Coturnix japonica: one gene and its partner. The protein of the gene in region 1 purifies or fractionates together with the protein of each later gene. This does not show direct contact. Links are inferred from orthologs where the notes say so. Each region holds a gene or a part of one and is shown in the gene's direction. Other genes may lie near its edges. The genes, in order: CLSTN1 and APBA2.

Region 1 (3,823 bases):
ACCAAATTGTCCCTTGTGAGAGCTTTCTCGATTAATAAATTTGGTCTGTTAGTAGATAGCTGTTGAAATGGATGCCTGAGAAGTTGGTATTTCTACCTTTCTCATTCGGTAGTTTATTTTGATTCCCTAATTTTAGTCAGGTACATTGCACAGGAAGACTTTGTTCATTGATCTCTTGACAGAATTTCTGTAATTAAGGTGCTGAACCTGTCCTTGAAGCTTTCTCATCCCTTGACTTGTAACTGTGCATTTTAACCTTTTGCTCTGGTCAAAATAAACAAGCCGCCCAGCTATTCCCAGTAGCTTGGCATAGAAGAGATTACAAGTGGCCTTGGCTGTGTGCTCTCATAAGTTCTACTCTTACCCTAGAGCTATCTCAAGTACTCCTGTGAAATGCCTGTCTACATTTCTCTTTTTCTCTTTTGTATTCCTGCATGAATGGATGCAAGTAAACGAGTTGCTTGGAAGGCAGACGTATGCTTCTTTTTACTAAAGTTCCCAGAAATCACCCATTTTAAAGCACAGTGCTCTTGCTTTGTCCACAGACCCTCACAAACCCTTGGCTGCAAACTATTTGGTCATTCATTTAAAAAAAGCGTCGTGATTTTGACCAGTTCTAACCTCTGTTGCTTTGAATCTGTAGGTGAGATTTGTGGATTTAAAATTCATGGGCAAAATGTCCCCTTTGAAGCAGTGGTAGTGGATAAATCCACTGGTGAGGGAATAATACGCTCCAAAGAGAAACTCGACTGTGAACTGCAGAAGGACTACACGTTCACCATACAGGCCTATGACTGTGGGAAGGGACCAGATGGAGCAAATGCAAAGAAATCCCACAAGTAAGTGAATCTGTGGTTGGCTGAGGGGAAGTTTGGTTTCAACTGGTCTCCTGTTCCTGGTGATTTACATCCTGTGTGTCTGGAGTAAATGCAAACCAAGTGTTAATAGTGGAAGACTTTTATATAATGGCAATATAGTATCAAAATGGAAATGAACTGTTTTGATATCTGTAACTGTATTCTCAGTGGTACTGCTTTGCCCTCCACATCTCTGTTGACTCTTGAAATATTTAAAATCAGGCTTGAATTGATACAAAGACTCAACATGGGTTACCAGTTATAACATTGTTTCAGAATTCAGTTTCTAAGACAAAAATCCAGGTTCAATAAGCCTTGACAAAGTGGAAAAGAATACATATTGCTTTGGTTTCCGTCGGCCTCACCCTAAAAAGCAAGATCAATAGCATAAGGTTCTTCTCTGCCTAGATTAAAGGATGGGAACAAAGCAATCTTTATCTAAAGAATAAACCACAATTTAATTGCTCTCTGGAAATTGACTTGCAAGTAACTGTATAACACCCTGGTGTCAACATCTGCCAAGCATGTGAAAGATTACTATCAGTGCAAAGCAAAGAGGGACACGAACAAGATGAGGACTAGTTTACCAGCAGTCATCTTGGTGACAAATACAGTTGCTATTCTATAGCTCTATGCTTCAAATACACAGCAGAAAGTTGTCTTGCTAAGGCTTACACTGATGGAAAATAGGTATCCTTGTTGAATTTTACTTTTGAAGAAAGATATGAAACAGAAAGATGGCAGTTATCATTTTGTTTGGTTGGCTGGAGTTGCTCAGTTCGATGTTGTAATACAGTTCCTTCTCCTCACTGTACAACTGAAATGTGTTTTTGTGCCTGTGCAGGTTGGTTGAGATGTAAACATCCTTCTTGATAGATCCAGAATGATGTATATAAAACTAAAATATGTTGTGCTAAAATATGTAGTCTAGAGAAATGTTAACAAAAGTAGAATTGGGAAAGTTCCTAATAAAAAAGCAGCCATTCAGTCTCTCTGGTACATATTCAGAAATACCTTATTTTAGGCATCTCAAGTAAGTGCATGAATGGTAAATAAATAGTTGAACTGTCTGGCACACAGGTGGCTGATCTTCTGCCTTTCTGAGCAGGCAAAGCACAGCTTCCTTGGTAGAGGTGTGATGTGTGTGGTTGCCAGGTGATGCAGTGTTATGGCTGTGCAGATTTCTCTCTGGGTAGTGAGCTAAGATGGCTGAGGTTGGTGAAGCTGTCATTGCAGCACTGCTCTGTGATCCAGGACTGTGTTCTGCAGTTCTTCTTTTGCTACAGAAAAATAATGGGGTTTCTAAAACCTGTACCTGCAAACCACTGCTGCTATTCCCTGCCTTGTGGCTGTTACTTTAGTGAGGAATACAAGCAGTGTTTGCTATAGAAAGCCTTTTATTGGTGCAATTGTTTGGCTATACAGGATAAAAGGAAACCTAAAAATACTTCTTAAAAACAAGCATTTTAAGTCTTTTGCTTTTACATAAGGACCACAAAGATTGGATTCTTTATTTACATTTCAGATACTTCTCAGTATTCACCTTTTCTTGACCCAGTCTGTGTAAGATTATTTAGCTTGCTGTAGGTGCTACAGTGCATCTTCCTATTGCAATTTTTCTTCTTCCATTTAAATTGTCTGATCTCTCAGTCCTACATCCAGGAAATAAATCAGTTTTCACTGACGTACAGCACTCAGTGCTTCATTATCAAAAGAAAGCTAATCAAAGGCACTTGACTGAGCTCCTAGCCTAAGACTAGTCATGTCTGTCATTCACGTGAAATAAAAATTGGATGTTTGTGTCACATTCTCTGACAGCAAAAGAGAGCTGAAAGAATTGTAGTGCTATCAGAACTAAATGCCTATTTTGTCACAGCTGTACTTTGTTATATTTCTGGAAAGTGGCAGCAACTCAGTAGTTGCAATGTTGGTTACCTGATTTTAAACAGCAGTAGTAAACAACAGCTTGGAACTACACAGAATTACATAGCAAAGCACATGGAAAATATTCGCTGCTTTTCCTGTTCGGGTACTTGAGATTTTTAGTCTCGTTAGTAGTTGGTGACATCCCTCAGGGAGCTTAAATTCTAGAGGTTTCATCTGTAAACGAGGTGTTCTGTCAGACTCCACACAAGAATGGGAGATCTGCAATGTAAAGAAAACTGACTTTGGTGTTTTATTTCCAGAGCAACAGTACACATTCAGGTGAACGATGTTAATGAGTATTCTCCCGTGTTCAAAGAGAAATCATACAAGGCAACCGTTATTGAGGGGAAGAGGTATGATAACATCCTGAAAGTGGAAGCGGTGGATGCAGATTGTTCACCTCAGTTCAGCCAGATCTGCAGCTATGAAATCGTAACTCCGGATGTTCCTTTCGCTATTGACAAAGACGGTAAGAATGTGATGCAAGACAGAGTTGGAATTACTGTCATTCACTGCCTTAGGCATAGGGCTTCAAATTGATCAGCATAAAACTGCAGCAACCCTGCTTTAACTCTTTCCTGTGATGCTTTCAAAAATAGGATTCTGTTAGTGTGTTTTTTCCATGTGAGATGTTTACATGTGGCTCTGAAGTTTACAGTGTATTGGGGTTGAAGTGTAGTGTAGTGTTTTGTTTTGTTTAGGTCATTTCCATTCAGTCTGTGATCTGTGGACTATTTCCAGGAGTCCAGGGGACCTGGCCAAGCAAAACAAGACAGTTTTTATCTGACTTTAGGTTGAATTTTTGAGGTATTCACATTTCTGAAGGTCTGCAGATGAAACAGATATCTGATAAAGTTTATTTACCAGTTACCACTTGTGAATAGTTTAATTTGGAGTAATATAATACTGTTAAATACTATATATATGTATATTATATAATGCAGTATAGTATACTGTGATGAGCCTGATAAGTATATACTTGTTGTTCTGTATATTTATACTTATCTTCTGTATATATATGATTTTTAAATATCTGGACC
Region 2 (3,823 bases), on another chromosome or scaffold:
GTGATCCCAAGGGCTGCATAAGTCCATCTCCACTTAGGATTTGTGACAGACATATTTCAGTAATGTTTTGCAGCATCCAGTGTGCGCTTAATAAAGCAGCCAACCAATTCTTTATTGACGTGCAGGTGTGCTTTCATTTTATGGAGGTGTGTGGTAATCAGAACTGACAGTGATTTAAAAGTATTAAAATCCTGTTGTACGTATTGGATTTAATTTATTTGCTGTCACTCTTTTTACAGTTCAATGCATCTTCATTATGGCCATGTCATGTTTCCTGCTTAAAGCATATTTGGTCTAATCCTACTATTTTAGGGAATAACGTATGATTATTATAGTATTATTATCAAAGCCCTTTGGGTATTTGTTTACCCATATTGATATAATTCACTGCACATCAACACATATTGCTCCATATCAGTTCAGCCCTGCAATACGATTAGATTTGTCTTGTATCAAACAAAATAGCATTACTAAGTAAGCTTCTTAGCTACTGCAGCCATCTACACAAGGCACTGGTCTGCTTCCCCATATCGTGGAGTTCTGTGCCTCAATCCATCTCAGGTATTCTACTTCCCAAAAACCATGCTTACTTCTTTCCTTGTGTATGCTGTCTTACCTGAACGTTGTTGTTATGAAGTAGCGGCACTAATATATCTGCTTCAGTCTCACATTTTATTTAGCTGACAAACCATTATTCATGGGGAGTAATTTGTCTAGAGACAAACACAAAAACATTCTTTGATCTACAGCTGGGTATTGCATTTGGAAGTCAGCAGACAAGGAGTTATGCTCACAGGTAACTTTCATGCTAATGCTTTGAAATAATAATGGCTCAGCATTTTCCATTAGCACAACTGTTCGTACAGAACTGCATTTGTCCAGCCTCCCAGCACATTTAGGCACTCTTGTTTTACTCATAATGGGGAAGCAGAGAAAAAAAGGAAGTGAAATGTCCTTAACCATAAAAAATGACATCTAGAAATCTAGAATTACCTGGGTAATTCTATGATTCTATGATTCAGGCCTTCCAGATTTCCAACAGTGAAACGGTGTCAGGAAAGCTTCACTTTCTTGGCAGTTGTGGGACATGCAGTCCCTGTTCCAGGTGCTGTTCTGTGACTTGGGTCAGTCTTGAGAAATTCTGCTCATGAGGATTTTGTGGCTGAGAAGAAAAAGAGCATTCCCTGGTTTTAAGACTCATTTTTTCCCTCAAATATGCTTTTATATTTTCACTTCAGCATTTATTCAGAAGCCTGAAGCTGCGCTACCAGCTATCGGTACATGTCCAAAAATGGCCCAAAAAGAGGGAGATACCATAAGGAATATCCCATGAACAGAGAATCCTGGAGTCAGTGCTAGGATACTGCTTTCCCAATCAGAGGTGCCTTTAGGACTGTGTGATTTTGTCCACTGCTAAGCATGAACATACTTTAAAATTCTGATTTTGGTTTGTAAACAATTTCAGAAAACAGAAGAATTTTAAGTCCTTTCTCTCTTTTCTTACAGATGTGCAATGGTTTAGAACAGCCACGGAAGCAGCAGCGTTCTGACCTCAATGGGCCAGTTGACAATAATAACACACCTGAGGTAGGTGCTTTAGGCCATTCTGCGGGTTGAGAACCCAGTTACCAAACTGTCAGCTTTCTCCCTCTCACAAACATATTACATGAACTCGTCCTTTTCCTGAACTGATGATAAATTCCATGACTGTGTATTCAGATCTTTAAACCATACCCATGAGTCACTTGCTACCACATTCATTTAACCATCCACACTATATACTCAAGCCTAGAATTTTCTGATGACATAAATAAGAGAGAAAACACTTCAGAAGTTCTTGTATTACTGAAGAGTAAAAGCAACATCAAAAAGAAATTGGCTTCTCCTTGTTTTCTTTTCCCCTAAAATGCCAGATTTTGAAACCAAAGGACTGCTTAATTCTCACAGTCCTTTAAATAATCCCTAATATGAAGCACCTCATTCAGTTCTGAGGGCTCAAGTGATTCGTTTTCTTTTAGTGGCCTCTGGGGTGAATGTGTCCCTGCTCAGTCAGCTCTGGAAAAGACACAGTGATAGGCAGACCTGCTCTTGTCACTGAAGAGTGGAGCACACAAGGTACCTCAGAATGCACAATGAGGTTAAGCTCGAGGCTGGACACAATCAAGTAAAATTCAGACTAAAAAGCAGCAATGAGTTTTCTCACAAACATACAACCATATTTAGCCTGCTGCTTTACCGAGGAGAAAGATTTCTGAAGCCTTTTCTCATTAAGGAGAAATCAGCCCCTTCCTTGGAAACAGTGGTACCTGAGGAGGCCAATGTAAAACAAACAAATGGCAGGACTTGATCTGTTCATTTAGAGTATAGACAGTAGTGGTAGGCTTAGGCAGTGTGCAGTCAGGGACAGTTCTTTTCATTCATCGACTAAGAATCTTGATTTGTGAAATACCGTTAAATGTTCTTAATGGTAAATTCGGGATGTTATGTAGTGTGATCCGGTGGATGAGTTACTGGGCTGGGATTAGAATCTGTGGTTGGTATTGCTCATTTGACAGCTGACCTCATTTTTTTCCTCACACCACCTTATTTTTTGTATGATAGGACCTGCTTAAAATACTTTAAGATTCCAGGAAAACAGAACTGTGTAACAGGTTGGGTTAATTACTATAATGCACTGTGTTTCATTGTTGTAAATAATGGCGATGCAAAAGTTATGCAGAGAAAACTGTGTTGTGTTTTTTTTTTTAAATTAATAGTCAGCTATTTGTAATATGAATTCACTTGAGTTTGTGAAAATTATTTCATTACATTTACACCATGTATTACTTTTATTTTTCAACAGTCAAAGAAAGTGTCTTCGTTTCCAAGTTTTGTTGATGGTAAGTTACGCATCATCCAAGTTAAAGTATAAACAAGGAAATGATATATTTTAAAGATCAAAATTCTAGAATTCTAAAAAAAAAAAAAAAAAAAAAGTCAAAAAAAAAAAAAAAAAAAAAGTCAAATTCAAGAGAAGCAGCTCCAAAGTGTAAAGAATAAATTAAACCTATTTCTGTGCAGAATACACCACGTATGGAAATATTTAACATTCTTATACATACCACTGACAATGAGAGCTGATGACGATAAGAAGGGCAAACAGAGCACTAGGCGAGATTAAAGGCAAGATGGAGACAGCTACAAACCTGGAAGGAGATCAAATGGCAGAAAACAGTGGGTCCTGTCAGGGTGAGGTTCATGGAGGTAGAAGAGCACTCTGTTCTTTATCGCTTTGCACAGAGAAAGGAATCAAGCAACTGAACTGTTCAGAGATCTGCTCTGACACACTTTTCTCCACAATGTGAACTGTAAATGAAGGACACAAATTTTATTTCTGATGCCATTCCCAACACAAGGAAAAGTTACTGTGGCTTAGAACAATACTAGAATGTTCAACATGTTTTTCACCTATTCCCTGACCTTGTCAGCTTGACTAGCAGCTTCTGTTTCTAATCATTTCCTCCAAGATCTAGAGCAAATGGAAAGTTCAAAGACAGCCCCATTTACACAATTGACATCTGACAGAAACTACGCATCACGCTTGGCATACACTGGCTAACAGGCCCTAAATAGAAGTAAATTAAATGCATTTCCCAAAGGCAGGAGAGACAAGAAGGCAAGCTGATCCTTTGTAATAAGCATCTACTGAGCATATGGTGGACAACTATAAAGGGAGGGCAGCACAAGTCGAGCTTTAAAAGAAAAAAAATGGTCCCTAACAACGTTGGCAGGAACAACTACACTTTTATTTTACTGGAGTAAAAAGGTTACATTTATTTCTTTT

Evidence for each region.
Region 2: the proteins of CLSTN1 (region 1) and APBA2 purify together in Homo sapiens (affinity purification with western blotting; 3 studies listed by BioGRID and IntAct, with this or other methods). This does not show direct contact. The link is inferred for Coturnix japonica from reciprocal best matches to the Homo sapiens genes CLSTN1 and APBA2.

The regions. Positions count from the first base shown.
Region 1 is NC_029536.1:2,980,700-2,984,522, reverse strand, and holds part of CLSTN1 (calsyntenin-1), read left to right. Parts: intron 1-643; coding exon 644-839; intron 840-3,043; coding exon 3,044-3,252; intron 3,253-3,823. UniProt on the Homo sapiens protein: Postsynaptic adhesion molecule that binds to presynaptic neurexins to mediate both excitatory and inhibitory synapse formation.
Region 2 is NC_029525.1:4,914,089-4,917,911, forward strand, and holds part of APBA2 (amyloid-beta A4 precursor protein-binding family A member 2), read left to right. Parts: intron 1-57; exon of another isoform or gene 58-713; intron 714-993; exon of another isoform or gene 994-1,162; intron 1,163-1,506; coding exon 1,507-1,587; intron 1,588-2,842; coding exon 2,843-2,879; intron 2,880-3,185; exon of another isoform or gene 3,186-3,345; intron 3,346-3,823. UniProt on the Homo sapiens protein: Putative function in synaptic vesicle exocytosis by binding to STXBP1, an essential component of the synaptic vesicle exocytotic machinery. May modulate processing of the amyloid-beta precursor protein (APP) and hence formation of APP-beta.